Saccharomyces cerevisiae S288C: one gene and its partners. The gene in region 3 interacts genetically with the main gene of each other region. Each region holds a gene or a part of one and is shown on either strand. Other genes may lie near its edges. The genes, in order: SPT10, PAN2, CCR4 and HEK2.

The links.
Region 1: of CCR4 (region 3) and SPT10, a mutation in one rescues a mutant of the other (synthetic rescue), as found in Saccharomyces cerevisiae (3 studies listed by BioGRID).
Region 2: mutations in CCR4 (region 3) and PAN2 impair growth when combined (synthetic growth defect), as found in Saccharomyces cerevisiae (5 studies listed by BioGRID, with this or other methods).
Region 4: mutations in CCR4 (region 3) and HEK2 impair growth when combined (synthetic growth defect), as found in Saccharomyces cerevisiae (4 studies listed by BioGRID, with this or other methods).

Annotation. Positions count from the first base shown.
Region 1 is NC_001142.9:181,779-186,133, forward strand, and holds SPT10 (Spt10p), read right to left. Parts: upstream 2,443-4,355; coding exon 520-2,442; downstream 1-519. Other genes in the region: NIT2 (putative hydrolase), read left to right, coding at 2,723-3,646; tRNA 1-methyladenosine methyltransferase subunit GCD14, read right to left, coding at 3,750-4,355. UniProt on the Saccharomyces cerevisiae protein: Required for normal transcription at a number of loci in yeast. Affects transcription at Ty1 elements, at PHO5, STE6 and ADH2.
Region 2 is NC_001139.9:330,618-336,306, forward strand, and holds PAN2 (poly(A)-specific ribonuclease), read right to left. Parts: upstream 3,849-5,689; coding exon 501-3,848; downstream 1-500. Other genes in the region: kinetochore-microtubule binding complex subunit SPC105, read left to right, coding at 4,269-5,689. UniProt on the Saccharomyces cerevisiae protein: Catalytic subunit of the poly(A)-nuclease (PAN) deadenylation complex, one of two cytoplasmic mRNA deadenylases involved in mRNA turnover. PAN specifically shortens poly(A) tails of RNA and the activity is stimulated by poly(A)-binding protein PAB1.
Region 3 is NC_001133.9:110,290-115,262, forward strand, and holds CCR4 (CCR4-NOT core exoribonuclease subunit CCR4), read right to left. Parts: upstream 3,071-4,973; coding exon 557-3,070; downstream 1-556. Other genes in the region: nucleoside transmembrane transporter FUN26, read right to left, coding at 1-141; ATS1 (Ats1p), read right to left, coding at 3,325-4,326; DNA-dependent ATPase FUN30, read left to right, coding at 4,630-4,973. UniProt on the Saccharomyces cerevisiae protein: Acts as a catalytic component of the CCR4-NOT core complex, which in the nucleus seems to be a general transcription factor, and in the cytoplasm the major mRNA deadenylase involved in mRNA turnover.
Region 4 is NC_001134.8:158,597-161,899, reverse strand, and holds HEK2 (Hek2p), read right to left. Parts: upstream 1,717-3,303; coding exon 571-1,716; downstream 1-570. Other genes in the region: SHE1 (She1p), read right to left, coding at 1-201; RIB1 (GTP cyclohydrolase II), read left to right, coding at 2,207-3,244. UniProt on the Saccharomyces cerevisiae protein: RNA-binding protein involved in the correct localization of transcripts in the cell. RNA localization is a widespread mechanism for achieving localized protein synthesis.

The DNA of each region.
Region 1 (4,355 bases), on a different chromosome or scaffold from region 3:
CTTCGTTACGCTACCGTAGCTTTTCTCCGTGAGTGACTGATTTTGCTGCTGTACATTTAACTCCTTTTCTATTTAAATTGTGCGCTGCCATTTTCCGCATCGGAAAACCTAAGACAAATTTTGATGAGTATACTTGGTACGTGCCCACGCAGCCAATAGTGTCTCGTTCACGGCATCAGATACAGCAGTACTTAAAAGGGCACTGAGGATCAGGTTTCCTAATCTGGAAAATTTTGCAGCACAAAGCTTAGTTATTTATCTCCGATTATGGATTTCTGCAGTACCTAGGTTTCAACGTAAAACTGTAACAGAACCTTTCGTCATGCAAGCATAATTGAGTTGAGTGCCTTGTTTCCAATTTCAGTTTCCAATTTTACTTCAAAAATCACTTCTGAAATAAGATTTAAGACTTGTCAACCCTGTTCCAAAAGTGGACGCATCATTAAATGTACCTTTTTTCTGTACAAACTTTATAGTTTCTAGGGTTGGTGATGTGACCGTCTCTGGCAGAGTCGCAATTTAATAATAAATATTAGAATTGTGCTCTGTAAATGTATTAGATTCGTTGTTAACAATCTTAGTGACTGAATTCTCATTACCTTCACTGTTGTTCAAATCGATTTGTTGGCCAGTCACATCTTCACCTCGATGATTTATCTTCTGTTGTTGTTCCTTTTGGACCATTTCTAGAGCGGCCATGACGTTATCTTCGAGGCTCAACATAGCATCGTTCATTATAGTATGGTCATTTCTATCTAAATCGGGAACTGAATGGTTCATATCTCGTTCATCACGGTTGACGGGGTTCGCGTGATCCTGCGATTCGTTATTCGTTAAATGGGGTACAATTCCGTTGGAGGCAACATCCAAGTATTTTCGTCTTTTTCTTGAGTTTTCTTCCTCCACGAATCTATTGAAGGAATTCATTGACTGTTCGTCGTCCAATAGTGGCGTGCTCTGTATTGAGGAAAGAAACTCGGATCTTTTATTCGCTTCGTTGGCTTCAGCTGTTGTTGCGGGACTATTCGTGGCGTTCTGGAATGTGGGTTGTACGATATTAGTGTCTGGCGGAGTGGGTTCACCCTCCACATCATTCAGCGTACTGGAAATAATATTTTGAGGGAAATTTATTGCCTGTCCCAATAACGCATTATCATGCTTCTTGCTTTTTCTTGGATTGTTGATAGTTTCTATATGCTGCGTCGGTAGCATATGCGCCTGCTTAACTGCTCTCTTTTGTTCAATTATTACCCCTGTCCCGTCTTTGTACCTCATCTTGCATTTTTGGCACCGAGAGATTACCTCCGAAACAGTACTCTTGATTCCTCTCCAATGGTATTTTTCACCAATTTTGGAGGTCACCTTGTTGATGCCTAAATGTTCCATTAAATGTATCTCTAATGCAATCTGGATTTGTTGATCCGTGTCATAAATGATTTCTTTTCCTTTTGTCATCAACTTGCCATTCAATACCGAATGAGTTTTGGAAAGTACTCTTAATCTAGCCTTTTCGTTTCTATCACAATGTAAAGGATACTTGCCTGTTTCCAGAAAATGCTTTAATCGTTCATATTTCCCAATTTCGATACTCTTTTGAGGATCTCGTAACAAATCTATACTTTTCGTAATATGTGTGAACTCTTTACCATACATGAAAGAATCTACTGGGACATCAAAGCCCTTGAGAATCCCGGCTTCAGGCAGCTTTCCAATCCGCCTAAAGTTCAATCCTTCCAAAATTCTTCTGATTCCTACGTTCGTTCCGTAAATTAACGGGAAAAAGGAGGACGTAAATCCTAATTTCTTTGACCATTCTATGAATGTTTCCATTAGTGTTTTCCCAATACCTTTTCCACGAATACCAGCATTGACCAGAAATGTTCCTGTGACCACATGCGCTGACCGTCCAGGGTATGCTGGTTTGAGGTCAAATATGCCTAGACATTGCTTCTCCCACTGCATACTTAGATTTAAATTGCGACGTTCTTTTCGTTTCTTATATTGGGTGGTGTGCTTCGTGGTTTCTATTTCTGTTCCAAAATTATCATTTGTGTCCGCTTCAGTATCCATACTATAATCCAGTTCTGGTATTTCGCCTAACACCATAATACAAACGTGACCATCATTATGAAACCAGACATTTTTGAATTCTTCTAGTGATAAAGTCTCGTAATAAGGAAAACTATCTCCCTTTTCCACTTCCATGTTAAATTCATCTAGAAGGAAATTTAAGAGCCCTAGCGGCAATAAATCAGGATACGCAGGTATAGGATACATCGTAGCTATTGTTTCTCCATCTTTCAATAAAATGGTATACGGTTGTAAAGGAGTCAAAAGTTGATCTGGGACCGCTGCCTCATTTCTCACTTCTGAACTGCTATTTTGGTGTGCCATCTGCAGATGTTCGTCATCCGGTACTGAACTTGTGTGCTGATTTAGCATTGAAGCTAATTATTACGATTTTTGTTGATAATCACTTTGGCGGAAGTCTAGAGTTGTTCTTGATCGGTACACTTTTTACTCATCCCCCGAGCAGTGAACTAACGCCAATGTAATGAATTTTGCTCTTTTATATTTTTCATTTTTTTATTATTTTAGCTCACGATCCGCATCTCGAATTTTCAGAGCTTACTAGATTCTAGGCCATTAGAAGTAAATGAATAGAGGTGAAATAAAATTCATACCCATCATGAAGTCTCCTTCATAAAATATAACACCGCAAATGACTAGTAAATTAAAACGGGTTGCTGTCGCACAATTATGTTCATCCGCTGACCTGACCAAAAACTTAAAAGTGGTAAAAGAATTGATATCTGAAGCCATTCAAAAAAAGGCGGATGTCGTTTTTCTCCCTGAGGCAAGTGACTATCTTTCTCAAAACCCTCTTCATTCCAGGTATTTGGCACAGAAAAGCCCCAAATTTATTCGGCAATTACAGTCAAGCATTACCGACCTTGTCAGAGATAATTCACGGAATATAGATGTTTCCATTGGGGTACACTTGCCGCCCTCAGAACAAGATTTACTTGAAGGCAATGATCGAGTCAGAAACGTTCTATTATATATCGATCATGAAGGGAAAATATTGCAAGAATACCAAAAACTGCATTTGTTTGACGTAGACGTGCCAAATGGACCGATATTGAAAGAATCAAAATCTGTCCAGCCTGGCAAAGCCATTCCTGACATTATAGAGTCTCCATTGGGAAAATTGGGCAGTGCCATTTGTTATGATATTCGCTTTCCCGAATTTTCTTTGAAATTACGATCAATGGGGGCTGAAATCTTATGTTTTCCCAGTGCGTTCACTATTAAAACAGGGGAAGCACATTGGGAGTTACTAGGCAGAGCAAGAGCGGTTGACACTCAATGCTATGTGCTCATGCCAGGGCAGGTTGGAATGCACGATCTCAGTGATCCAGAGTGGGAGAAACAATCACATATGAGCGCTCTCGAAAAAAGCTCCAGGAGAGAATCTTGGGGACACTCAATGGTCATTGATCCTTGGGGTAAAATAATAGCGCATGCCGATCCCTCTACTGTTGGACCACAACTAATTCTCGCTGATTTGGATCGTGAGCTTTTGCAAGAAATAAGGAACAAAATGCCCTTATGGAACCAGAGAAGAGACGATTTATTTCATTGAGGCAAATAAAATATGAAAAAAGCCTTTATTCGTACAGATTTGCTTTACATATTAAAAATTTCAAAAACATATAATTTAAGTATATAAGTAGTTAATCATTTAATTATTTTTCCGTGGATCGAAGAATTTCGTTAACTTTTTCATCATCTCTTGATCTATTCACAACTTTAAATGCAAAAGTCAAATATGAGGTATGGGATTTGATCTCAGCTTCCATCTTTGTGACCTCCTTCCATTTATAATTACTATCACCTTCCTTGATTCGAGAACCTTTGCCAAAAGGATTAAATTTGGCCTTTTCTGTTAATGGTACGCCATCCTCGTTTCTTTTTCCAACTTTTTCATCGTTAGAATCTATTGTATTGTTAAACATCCGCTTGCGTCTTTCTACACCCTGGAGTTTGTGCCTCTTAATATCTCTCAACCTTTCCAGGGCATCATTGAGTGATCTGACCATTTGTCTTCGACTTTCGTACTGTCTACCTTGAATTTCCACCATTTCAACATCCGTCCAGCCATATTTCTCTAATACATCCAATGTTTTGTCTACTTGCTCAATGCATGGGGAGAAGCAACACAATCCGACCTTTTCGTCTACGGAAATAACAGAATCCAGATGAGGTATAGCATCCCAGGGAGCCGGCAGATCTAAAAACACTACATTTGCATTCAATGAAGCGGCGGTTTCATTATTGCCAAATTCGTAAGA
Region 2 (5,689 bases), on a different chromosome or scaffold from region 3:
TATACAGTAAAAGATGGCCTTAACTCAAAACCAAGTCACTGTACCTCTTCACTCCTTAATGTTACTCTGGGTACATTGCATATGAGCCAAGGCACTTCTATAAGTAAGTTCGAACGTTAACTAACTGTAATGACGTTACCCTTTCCTGAAATTGGCAGAAACAAAAATGAACATTTCTGGCAACTTTTCGCCATACAGTCAGTACTCGTTACGGACGCCCGGGAAACAAGTAGGAAACATATGAGAGGCCAAACAAGGGTAAGACCTTCTTTTCTGGTAATAGATATTACTTCATCGCACAAAGAAGTCTAATTCTGGCGTGTGATGACAAAAAGGTTTAACAAGACCTGTTTCAAAATGTTTGCATATGTTGATTACAGTATATATAATAGTACACAAACACCGGTAACATTTTATAATTTTTTTGAATTTTTTGTATACTTTTCCAACCAGTGGTGCGCTGGTGGCTCTTGAGATTACGTGAAAGGCACTGCACCATATTATCCCTTTGAAGTTTCTGGAACTTTGAAATTATGGGCTCTTCCTTCTTCGTACACGCTGTTCAGTACTTTCTCAAAGATAGCTTTTTCTTTCAGGTGGAGATATTTTTTGTAAAGAATCAAGGCAGTATGGGCATCTTCAATTGAATCGTGATTTCCCTCTTGGATATTCATTCCTAACAACACATATGCCAGATAACGCAATGAAAGATATCTCTTTCCTTGTAGAAAATATATGGCAGTGTCGCGAATTTGGTTTCTTGGGACATTAATATTAATGTGTTTGAAGTCATTATTCAAACCATGACCAACAAATACGCATCCGAGCTGCATTAAAAGCCAGACTTTTCGATATACAACGTTTCTTCTCACAAGCCTTTTGGTACTCTTTTCAGGGTCCAAGTCACCAGGAAGAATCCCACTATATCTTGTCAAATAGTCTTCTATGTGGTTCGTGTTTACCACATAATCATCGACAAATGGTACTCCATACAGTTCTCCTTCTTCGCCTCTAATAATGGATATTCTGGCCAAAGCAGTTCTTTTAGGTCGAATAATACTTCTGATTCCTTGATGATCGATTTCACATAGTTCACTTTGTAATGAGACAAATTCGGCATCAATGGCAACCAAGGTTCCAGATTTAGGTGCCTCATCATGTGTTAATAACTTATATTCACGTCTTGCAGTATCTCTTATTCCGTTTGCGAAATAATCACGGAAAAGTATGTCATAGTTGATGGAATACGTATCAACAGAAAAGAAAGGTTTTCGTAATTCTTCCGCATCACAATATATGATAATTTCTGGTGTTTTCCAAGGGTATGTCATTTTAAGCGCCTCTTCCTCTGTTATCTCAACAACCAAATAATCATTAAACATGAGCCACTTGAAGCAATTCTCTTTTGGATTATATTTTTTGACATATGTTACTAGACGCGTCTCGTTATTGTTATCAGTGATTTTAGCCACGTAACCATTCAATTCGTATTTAAATATGTGGCTTGTGCCCTTCAATTCGGACGCCGTCGATCTTAGAACTGCCTTGTTTTTAATGATGCTTCCATAAAATTCACTAGTTAACCAGTTTTTCGACGACCTTATATTGGAAAATTCGGTATCTAATAGTGATAATTCTAATGACAACACTGAAGGTAAATTCTTGACAGTACACTCCTGGGTGATAGTTTCGGTTTTGCCGCAGGTTGGGCAAATACTGTTCTTTTGGGTTACATTTTTCATGGCATATTCAATATAAGGCAAAATATTCTGTCCATTGCTTTTCTTGTTCAATTGTTTGATTACGGTTTTGTTGATTCCTGATATTGATAAGGAGGGTAGAAGTTTGACGGTAGTGTCGTAGTGATCACAGCTACACTCTGTTCGTATTTCCGTTTCCAAACCAAAGCATTGATTTAGGGTGATATTATGGTTGACTGTCTGCGCTTCCTCTTTAATAAGTTGCGAGAGCAGGAATCTGTTAAATTTTTGAGGCATATTGCGTTTAATACTTTCAGAAGAATTAAAATCCTCGATACTTTCCCTTATGCACAGCGATTCTAAATACTCTTCTAAATGTTCTTGTGGTTCACCGTTTTCTAATTGTCTTTTATCAGTTAAGGATTTCAATGACGCCTGAAAATTGGAAGAACTACATATTTTTCCATGTGATCTTTCCATCATGTCAAAGAGGTAGCCTAGATCAGTTAGCAACGTTGTTTCAAAATTCTCGTCTTTCAAACACCCAACAACGAAATTAAACATTTCTGGAATAAAGCGATACAATTGTATGATAGCATTTGTGTAGTGATTATCAACATCTGGATCCAATCCTGAATACTCAGTGTTATTAAAGGGCGTAAAATCAAAATTATCAGTACCAAATCTACCTGATGTCAGTGGAAGTCTACTGTATGCAGGGGGTACTTCGTACTTGTTGATTGAGGTATATGTCTGTATATCGCTGGTTTCTAAACCGCTTGTTATCTGTTTCCTTATATCTCTTAGACAAACGTAATCTGGTATAGCATTTCTCATACCGTATTTGGTGCGATCATATCTTAACAAAGGAAATTCTTGTGTGCTCAACTTCTCATTTTGGCTCGAGATCACAGCAAGGTTACTTTTTAATTTGCCGCTCGATGGTAAGGGTGACTTACCTGTTAATTGCGGTATGGTACCTTCACTTTTAAACACTACAGGGGGCCATGCAGACAAAAGTTTATCAAGATAGTACGGCATCCCCACAGAACTCAATGGATATGTTTCATCGTCGACAGATATTGGGCCGTCAGAGGTAATGTCATTAAAATAATCAGGATATGCTAGCATTTCAGGGGTATTGGTAAACATTCCCATGTTGTTTGATGATCTTCTCCATGTATCTAGGTGATTATCAGCTTCTAGTATACCCAATACGTCACCATTGGGGGACAAACATAACTTTTTAATCGACTGGCAAGGATGAACATATTGTGTTCTTAAAGTTGGATTGGAAAGGTCGATGAAATCAAACGAACCAGAACTTGAGGCGACGATCATAACAGTAGGAAGCAAAGGATGTAATTGAACAAAATCTGCGCCTCCAGATCCCATAGTTGTTCCTTTAGAAAAGGAAACAGGAGGGAGTTGACGCATTGTTCTCAAGTCGTAAACATTCACAAATGGGTCAGCGTATAAGTTATAAAATCTTTTGGACTTCCCTACTGTAACCAAGGTGTTATCCCGTAAATCCATAGCGGATATGGATGCAGAGTGTGCATTAAATGATTTGATAGTACGATTCGATGTTGGATCTAGCAAATCCACAGTCCCTGTTTGTCTTCCGATAGACAAAACTTTATTATTAGAGCACATTAACTTCACTTTAGATGAGTAATTCAAGAGGGAATCTAAGCAACCTCTGTTCAAGTCAATGGACGCAATTCCCCAATTTGTGTTGTCACCACCACAGTAGATATTGTTTTTCAGTGAATGAGGAGAATAGCACATAGTGTTCAATTCGCTAAATGCAGCAATATCAATGCTAGTGAGGTTCAATTTAGTAACACCTCTTCTATTAGCAAAGTGTAAGGAATCTTCACTAATAGATAAAATACCATCCCGATGACTGAGAATATCCTTCACGGAATTTCCACCTATGTGGCCCCTATATCTTGTATAAAGTTGAAAAGTTGGATCATATGACGAAATGCAACCATAGCTGTCTCCACTCCAAATTAAGTTTGCCTTCTCATCGAAGCTAATCGCTGTAATTTCCTTATCCCTATTATCGAAGCGAAAGTATGGCTTCTTCAAATGTTCCGAAAGATCAACTGGATTGTTGAAGAAATGTTGCCAATTATTCATAATACATTCACCATTCAGAAACTCAGTATAGCAATTGTGTTCTAGTAATCTCTTAGGGTGTAATGCAGTTCAAAACAAAAAATAAGCAAATAAAAAAATTTTCAGAATGTAAAAATTCTAGTTAAAATGAACGTGTATTATATGGTAATGATGTGTCTCTTGGAGATTCTATTTCTTGTGTTCCTCTATGCCCACATAGTACGTTATTTCCTATATATGCTAACGTTAAAAGCATGTTTCTTTTTCGTTATTCTCTCATTGAAAAAAACAATACGCGAAAGAGAAGGCGCCACCCGCCCCGTTTTAATACAAATAGATAAACACATAACAAAACAAAGGCTAATTAGACACTACACTCAGTGATTAAGTACTTAGTAACCGTGATTACGACGTCCCTTGTGATATCTAAGTGGGCTGACAATGAATGTGGATGAAAGAAGCCGGATTGGGGGTAGAGAGAAGGATGCGGGGCCCGGGAAAGGCATTCTTAAGCAGAACCAAAGCTCGCAAATGACTTCAAGCTTTCTAGAGAACCCTGGTGTTCGTATTCCTACCAGGATTATAACAAAAAAAGAAGTATTAGATGGTAGTAACACGACATCCAGGATCAATACTTCTAATTTACAGAGTATGGTAAAGAGAAGAGTTTCATTCGCTCCCGATGTTACGTTGCATAGTTTTACTTTCGTACCTGAACAAAACAATGAAATTAAGGAACCAAGACGTAGAAAAACTTCAACCAACAGCCCTACTAAAATATCTAGTCAAGAAGAGCCTCTTGTAACGTCTACTCAAATCGATGATGCTCGTACGGAAGAAAAAACAGCGGCAGAAGAAGATCCCGATACATCTGGGATGGAATTGACAGAACCTATAGTGGCGACACCGGATAGTAACAAGGCTTCACAGCATGATCCCACATCAATGGAAATGACTGAAGTTTTTCCTCGGAGTATCAGACAGAAAAATCCAGATGTAGAGGGAGAAAGCATTGAGTCAAGTCAACAAATCGATGATGTCGAGGCAGTGCGAGAGGAAACAATGGAATTGACGGCCATACATAATGTACACGACTATGATTCAATTTCAAAAGATACAGTAGAGGGCGAACCAATAGATCTGACAGAATATGAGTCTAAACCTTACGTTCCAAACAGTGTCTCACGCAGTACCGGGAAATCCTCTGACTATAGCGTGGAAAGAAGTAACGATAAAAGCGACCTTTCAAAATCTGAAAATAAGACGAATTCCTCTCAGCCGATGGAAATTACAGATATATTCCATGCTGATCCACAGAACCCTATGAGTCTACACAGCGACAATAACATCAATAATGATGGTAATGAGATGGAACTCACGCAAATACAGACAAACTTTGACCGCGACAATCACCACATTGACGAATCTCCCAGCGAAAAGCATGCGTTTTCTTCTAATAAGAGGCGCAAATTGGATACTGTCTCTGATTATGCTGCATCGGTTACGACACCAGTCAAAGAGGCAAAGGATACTAGTGGAGAGGACAATGATGGTGATTTAGAGATGATGGAGAAAATGTCACCCATTACATTTAGCGATGTTGATAATAAGATTGGGACGAGATCCAATGATGTGTTCACTATTGAACCCGGTACTGAGGATACTGGCATGCAAACCGCGACAGACGATGAAGAAGATGGGGAAAATGTCGATGATAACGGGAACAAAATAGTTGAGAAAACAAGACTCCCCGAAATAGACAAGGAAGGGCAGTCTGGTATAGCCCTGCCTACTCAAGACTACACTTTGCGGGAATTTATAAATGAAGTGGGGGTAGGGTTTTTAGATACCAAACTGATAGA
Region 3 (4,973 bases):
TTCATCTGAGTGCTCGTTGTTCTCTGATTCATGTTCTTCTCCAGAGCGTGATATCTCCTCTGAATGCGTATCGGCCAGTGCAGGCTCTGGCACCGCAAGGATTGGCTTCTTGATGGTATCAGTGTCCGCACTAGTACTCATTTTTGCAATCTGGTATGCTTTCTTGCGTTTGATGATAAGCTGTCGCCGTAACGTAAATCATTCATCCTTTCCTATGATTTTTTAAGTCAATTTTTTTTTCTTTTTCGGGAAATTAATTCTGTTTTTGGCATTAATAACAACAAGAAGAATTAAGGATTCGTTATAGAATACAAGATTCTTGGTTTGGTTAAATAATTTTGGCTCTCTTAAATATTATAAAAAGATACTTAAGTAAGAAAGAAACAGGACGAAAAAGATACGCAAAAGAGAGAGAGAGAGAGAGAGAAAAAAAAGATGAGAAAAAAAAGTATAACGTGAAGGCTTTATGGGAAGTGCGGTGAGATTGGGATCGTTTCAATTTTATAATGAGGTAGTGTACAGAGAGGAGGGAGGGAGTGGGATGAAAGTGTGCGGTTTATACTTTCTTACTGCCTGTGTTTGTCTTCATAAATTCAAATCTTGCTAACAATGGTATATGGTCACTGGGGAATTTGTCGTTGGGGAACCCGATAAACTTACTCACGTATTCAGGGTCCACTTCACCCAATAGCCCACGCACCCTTAGAGCATGTGTAGAAAACCATATATAGTCGATAACATCTGTGAATGACGGTGTGAAATTGGTGAATGGTAGTTCTCCGATACAATTATAACTTGATTTGAGAGCCAAGTTATGTGAGAAATTTTTCTCCGACATGTAACCGAAATCTCTACCATTTCCCTCTTGATGTATTTGGACACGGCCTGTATTTATCAATTCGTATACGGCGGAGTTGATGTATGAATTGAAGTCACCACAAATGAGCACAGGAAATTTCTTAATGTCCTGTCTAAAATTGTGCGATGTCTCCTCCTTTAGCAGCGTTTCCAGATGATCTAACAGGACACCTACTTGGAATGTCTTGACATCATTAAATTTTGGATCCCAGTGCAAATGCGTGGTGACCGCCCATATGGTGTCGCCACTAGGAATGTGTTGTAGCTTTAAGAACAGTGCAACGTTGTCTTTGTTCATTGCACGGTTTAAATAATCTTCAGTTCTTTGGAACTTCTTGTGTTTCATCCAAGCACCGCTGAAATCCATGGCGTCTTTGGTGATCAACTTGAATTGGTCCCTTTTGAAAAAAATGCAACACCCGTCCACTTTCTTGGAGTCCTTGGAATGCATGGTCTTGGCTCTTGCCTTTGCATGGAAGATGCCTGTATAACCGTGCTTGTCCAATAGGGGCACCCAATACTCTTCAAAAGTCTTAGACTCCACTTCTTGTAAACACAACAGATCACTGTCGTACGAGAGAATCTGCTCCTTTAATTTATTGCGCCTGTAATCCCAACTTAACGCCCACGACGGTGTGTAACGGTACATTTTTGGGGTGGCATAGTGTTGACATAAGGTGTTGTAGGATAAGACGGTGAACGTCCTCTTGGCTAAATCGGTGGCCAGATGCTCAGTGGATTGCTGCAAAGAATCGTACTCCCTCTGTGGTTCCCCATCGGTATTGATTTCGATGAACCTACGTTCATGCGGTAAGGGAATCTCTGGTCTGTTGTCCCTTAGGTAGAAAATCAATCCCGTGACAGATTTTTCTGTAAGGATCTTTAAAAACTGTTTTTCTAAGGGGTTTCCTTCTACACCAAGAAACTGAAGGTTACACAGGTTCCCAAACTCCCATGGTAATGTGGTGACCATGTTATCAAAAAAGTAGAAGTATTTCAATTGGAAACATGAGCCTAGTTCCGCTGGTAGAGATGTTAACCTATTATGCGACAGGTCCAAAACGCGTAGGTTGCTTAGGTTCTTGATCTCCGCTGGCAGTTCCGTGAGGCTATTGCCATTCAAATATAGTCTCGTTAGAAAATCGTACTTGAAGATGTTGGCGCTGATATTGAAGATTTGCAAGTTGGACAAATCTAGCGCGTGCCATAATTGGTCGTCGTATTTCGAGTCCTTGGGCATGACCATTCTGTTTTCAATGTCGTCATCTTCGTCGATGCTGTACTGAGACAGTTTCTTGTGTTGTAAGAGCGCCTGGTTGGCTTCGTCCTTGCCATTAGCAAACAGCTCTATCTTGGGAGTCAATGGTGTAGAAACTGCACTGTTAGTTGCCGTGCCTGAGGGAGTGCTATCTCCCGTAGGTTGTTGTTTCTTTGCTGTCTTGCTGTCGGTGAGAGTGTCGGCCATTTCCATCAAGGCTTGCTTTGTGCAGTCTACCAGTGATTTGGAGGCTTCTGCAATGTGAGATTGCTGGAAATCGGTGGGCTGCAAAGCTGGTGGTGCAGCCTGAGGTCCGGGGCCAAATGGGCCCGGGACCTGCTGCTGTGCCTGTTGCTGCGCTTGTTGCTGAGCTTGCTGAGCCTGTTGTGTAGCCAAATACTTCTTCATAGCGTTTTGTCTAGCATAAATGTTGGGTTGCCCCAGAGATTGTGCGGACACTGCAGCCAGATGCAATTGAAGCTTCCAGATCGGATTGTTTAGTAAAGAAGGGTCATCCAAGTGCGGGTGTAATAAAGGGTTACTGGCGTTCACATTGATGTTCACAGGCGTACCAACGGTAGGAACCATCCCTATAGAATTTACTGCGGCTGTGGAGGCATTCATCATCACCCCGCTTCCACCGCCGTTGTTGTTGTTGTTGTTGTTGTTGTTATTGTTGTTATTGTTGTTATCCATGTTCATATTGAGCATGTTCGCGTTCCCATTAGCCAATTGGTCGAGCAACTGGCGCGAGTTGTTGTTGCTGGAAGTGTGTACATCGCTGTTGTTCATGAGTCCCGGTGGAGGTATCCCGGTGAGCTGGTTCATGTGTAGCTGCTGCTGTAGAGCGTTTGGTGTACCCTTTCCTAGTAGCCCGGCATGCTGCTGTTGCTGCTGTTGCTGTTGCTGCTGCGGGCCCACATTAGGGTAGCCTAGTAAAGAAGGGTCGTTCATTAGCGGTAGTTTGCAGGGATAACGTCAGTCGGAGTTCCCTTGCTGGTGTCCCTTATGCTGTGCCCTTGTGCTTGAGAACCTTCTCTAAGGTGGAAACTTTTTCAAATTTTTTCGTTGTTGGCCCGTTTTTCGCAAGTACGGGCGATAACAAAAGGCCTAAACGGCTACTTTACCTTTGAGATCTACCACGATGAGAATTAATGCTGAATGGACATCTATGTATATGATAGTGGGTATATAGTTACTTATCAGTGCTAGAGCACGATCCACGTGGTGGCACATCCGCCAAACACGCGAGGTTTTCCAGAGTATTGGCCCACGAGCTGCAGTCCAGGCTGGGAGCCCTTTTGCGGGCCGCAGTTGCCATGCTCTCCCCAGCCCCAGCAGTATACATTGTAACAGTGAGACTTGCCTTCTTGATTAGCAGTAGTTAGAATACCGTGCTCACTCCCGGTTGCAACACCGACAATAGGGAAGTCTAGGCGCTCTTGCGGGAAGAGTTGGGAATGTGTGCCCCTACCAAACGACTCTACCGTATTGAGGCGCGCATTCCACAGGTGGATCGAGGTCCACATGCACAGTACCACTAGATTGTGTCTTTTTTGCTGTTGTTTGAGCTCGAACCCAGTGGGCAGGCGACCGGATGCGTGCACTATGCGGCCGCCCTCGTCCACTATGACCATGAAGTCCTTGCCCATGGCCACGTAGTCTACGGCCACAGACCCGGTATCGTACACCAATACGGGCTCTTTCAGTGATCGGGATTTGGGCTCTTGCAATTGACACTTTGTGTTGCTGCCCCAGCCGTATACTCGGGTGCCTTGCACCACCACAAAGTTCTGGAAACATCCGTATACTGCGATGCGCTCATCGTTGGAATTCAATGGCACATGTTGCTGAGTGAACTCGTAGCAACCGCCTCCTCTCTGCCATACACGGCCATCAGCATCCACAATAACTGTCGTGTCCCAGCCGCACGCCACATCCACCACGGGTGCCGGTACTTCCACGGGCCTCCAGTCATGCACCTGCCGCAGTGCTTGCGCACTATCCAGTTCTCCCCGTCTGTTATCTCCACATCCTACCAGATTCCCGTCATTTGTCAGCATCACGCTGTGGTTCCCACCGCACGCTATCTTCCTGACTATTGCTCCATCATCTCCTGGCACAGACCTCTGTGGGGTATCCATATCCTCATCGTGCCCCAGTCCCAGTTGCCTTTGCCCATTAGACCCAAACGCATACACACAACTCATCGATACAAGCCTGTTATAGCCTTTAATGATCACATTCCATCACTTGCGCTTTGGATCTGCCTGCATTATCAAGGCTCAAACGGCTGCGTTACCCCCGTCGCCGCGAAATTTTTCATAATTTTTCACTTTGTAGGATTAAAAGAGATCATGAGCCCATCTCGCAATGCAACACGTAACTTAAATCAGTACTGGCGTGTGCTATAGTGCTCTATATTCGAGTTTGTTGCTACTGGTGGACACCCGACTATCTACAGTAAGGAACGTAAACAAGAAAAAGAGAGAAAATACGCTATAGTTGAAAACATGAGTGGTTCGCATTCAAATGATGAGGATGACGTAGTGCAAGTGCCCGAGACGTCCTCTCCCACCAAGGTAGCATCGTCGTCTCCCTTAAAGCCTACTTCGCCAACAGTTCCGGATGCAAGTGTGGCGTCTTTGAGAAGCAGGTTTACTTTCAAGCCTTCAGATCCCAGCGAAGGAGCTCATACTTCGAAGCCGCTCCCATCTGGGAGTCCTGAGGTAGCACTGGTTAACCTTGCGAGAGAGTTCCCCGATTTCTCTCAAACTCTGGTGCAGGCTGTTTTCAAATCTAACTCTTTTAACTTACAGTCTGCCAGGGAACGTCTTACAAGATTGAGGCAGCAAAG
Region 4 (3,303 bases), on a different chromosome or scaffold from region 3:
TAAAAATTCAAATTTTGAGCTAGCTCTAGAATCCAGTTCACTTAATACAGAATTTCCTAATCTTTTGGAAACGCCAATAGTCTCGATGATATTGCTATTGTTATTTGAATGAAAGTCTATACTCATATGCGGCGGCGTGAAACCATTAATTTGTGAAGTGGTGTCTTTTTCGTTATGCTCTTCTTGGAGTTTATCATTCATCCATGAAGATAATATGTGTTCTAGAGCTGTAATTGCATGTTTATTGTTTATTTGTTTATACCATTGCCTAGAAACTTACGATTTTTTCATGTTATTTTCCCCTTCCCTCTCTGTGCCTCTAGCCGGCGATGCGCGAAATGTTTAAAGCAAGAATTTCGATAGTAATAAAGAAAATACAACGGCTTTATTGAGTATTTATAAAACGTTTTTTTTTAATTCAAAATACATATACATGAATAAATATATACATATTGAATCATTTTTTTCCCTTTAATAAAAATACAGTTTAAACTAGTAATGATGCAACATTATTCGTTAAGATGATAGTTTGTTTTGTCTGTGTGGGACGTGCGCACGCACACGTATATACTACGACTGCTCCTCTTTGTTATCATGATTCTCTTGAGGTTCTTCCTTCTCTTCCAAGAAAGAAGCAGAATCAGAGCGTTCAGTAACAACAGTGGCATCTCCTTCGGCAGCTTCCAATTTTCTCTTGTAGTTTTCACGTTTCTCAATTTCAGTATTCAGGTTCTTCAAAAGCATGGACTCAGCAAGTTTGACATTCTTAGGAAATTTACTTGTGATTATGAATTTTCTAAAATTTTCGTCTTTATCATCGTCATCCTTCCTTTCCACGACAATATTGGTTTTTGTGAAAGTTTTCAAATTCTTAATTCTGTTCATTCCACGGCCAATAATGGCGCCTACATACAGTTCTGGAATCTTCAATTCGATCCTAGTGTTAGATGAGGTAGAAGGGGAAGTTGGCTCACCGGAGGACTTTTTCAGATGAGGGAAATAAGATCTTTCTGTGCTGAATCTGACGTCAACGTCACTCAAGATGATCTCGCTAATTTCGATAAGTACATTGGTGATGGATCCTGGGAAACCCTGGATCTCGATAATTCTCTCGTCGCTAGCAGGTAAGAAGTCCTTGGAAGCCACGATCTTAACGCCGTGCTTATTGATCAGGGACTTGATGGTGGCGCCTGCTTTCCCGATAATCGATGAGATATGGGAATTGGCCACAATGAGCCTCACATAACCGATGTCCTCCAGTTGCTGCAGATCTCTGATCTCGTCCTTTGAGGGAGCTGGTAAAATATGGTTCAAAAAGTGGAAGTAGTAGTGCTCTTCCGCTTCGCCCTCAGCTGCGTCCTCATTTTCGGGATTCCGTTTGTTAAGCACGTCAACAATATCACCAATGGCATTGGCCACATTGATTACGTTCCCAGCACAGGACAGGATCCTGTCAGAGCAACCGGGCACCTTTTCAGAAATACCGATCTTGACGGCGTTTGCAGCTCTTATGCGTGAGATGGTGGAGCCCTTAGTGCCAATGATCTTGGCAGCCTCTTTCAATGACAGCAAAAGCCTGTGATTGATGGTGGGTTGAGCGGTGGTGCCAACAACGGGGGCGCCGCCAGTGGCGGCGCTGCCGGCATCACTGGAGCCGCCGTTGGTATTGTTTGTGGGAATTGCAACGGGAGTAGCAGCTTCGAAGAACTGTGACATGGCTGGTATATATACTAATGCTGTCTCTAAGTTACCCGATAAGTTGATGCTTTGTTGTACAGGGGACGCGCGATAGGAGTGGGGAGCAATATGCTTTTACTTCGTATGCCAAGTAGTTATATATGCTCGGGTACTTATGCTCCAGATTATAGTCTTGTTTGTTGTTTGGCTGAGCGGCCGGACACACAGAAAAAAAACAAAAGGGCTTTCGTTAAAAGGGATAGGGTAATGTCTAGACTTAGCATAGGGCTAAAACAGAAATAGTAGGGTCTATACCGTTTTTGAAAACAAGTTGTGTAGGGTGAGACTTTTTCTTTTTCCTTTGAGTTTTTCTTTTTCTTTTTACGATTTGTCAGAAATTAGTCGGACGCTCTTGTGGGGTGAGCGCCAGCGCCGCTATAGTATATATAAAGAAGTTGCTGTGCTGGCGTGGACAATAATTGAGTCATTACAAAAAGTGGCGTACATAAAACTACAACAAACCTACAGGATGACCATAGATAACTACGACAACAGTAAACAGGATAGCAGCAAATACGAGGTTAGTGGTACGGGTGATGGCAGGAACGGCGATGGCGGCTTGCCTCTAGTACAATGTGTCGCAAGAGCTCGTATCCCAACCACACAGGGTCCGGATATCTTTTTACATCTTTACAGTAACAACAGGGACAACAAGGAACATCTAGCCATTGTGTTTGGTGAAGACATACGGTCGCGCTCGCTATTCCGTAGAAGACAGTGCGAGACGCAACAAGATAGAATGATCAGGGGCGCTTATATTGGCAAACTGTATCCCGGCAGAACTGTGGCAGACGAAGACGATAGACTCGGATTAGCTCTGGAGTTTGATGATAGTACAGGTGAGTTATTAGCTTCCAAAGCCACTACATGGGACGCCCATAACGACACGCTGGTACGGATCCATTCTGAATGTTACACCGGTGAAAACGCATGGAGCGCCCGTTGTGATTGTGGTGAACAATTCGATAGGGCCGGTAGGCTTATCGCTTGCGACCACGAACCCACAAGCAACATCAAAGGTGGAAACGGCCATGGTGTTATCGTGTATCTAAGACAAGAGGGTCGTGGCATCGGGTTAGGTGAGAAACTCAAGGCCTACAACCTGCAAGACTTAGGTGCTGACACAGTGCAGGCCAACTTAATGCTGAAACATCCCGTGGATGCTAGGGACTTCTCGCTGGGTAAGGCTATTTTGCTGGATCTTGGCATCGGTAATGTCAGGCTGCTGACAAATAACCCGGAAAAGATAAAACAGGTAGATCATGCGCCTTACCTTAAGTGCGTTGAACGAGTGCCTATGGTACCCATACACTGGACAAACTCCAGTGAAGGCATAGACTCCAAGGAGATAGAAGGTTATCTCAGGACCAAGATAGAAAGAATGGGTCATTTACTAACGGAGCCTCTGAAACTTCATACAAACCCTCAACCTACTGAGACAAGTGAAGCCCAAAACCAAAACCGTATGAACTCTGCGTTGTCATCAACATCGACGCTGGCAATATAAACACAAGTGTAGCATAATTATTAGTACATATAGTGCTTTTTTTGTAATGAAACGAAAAT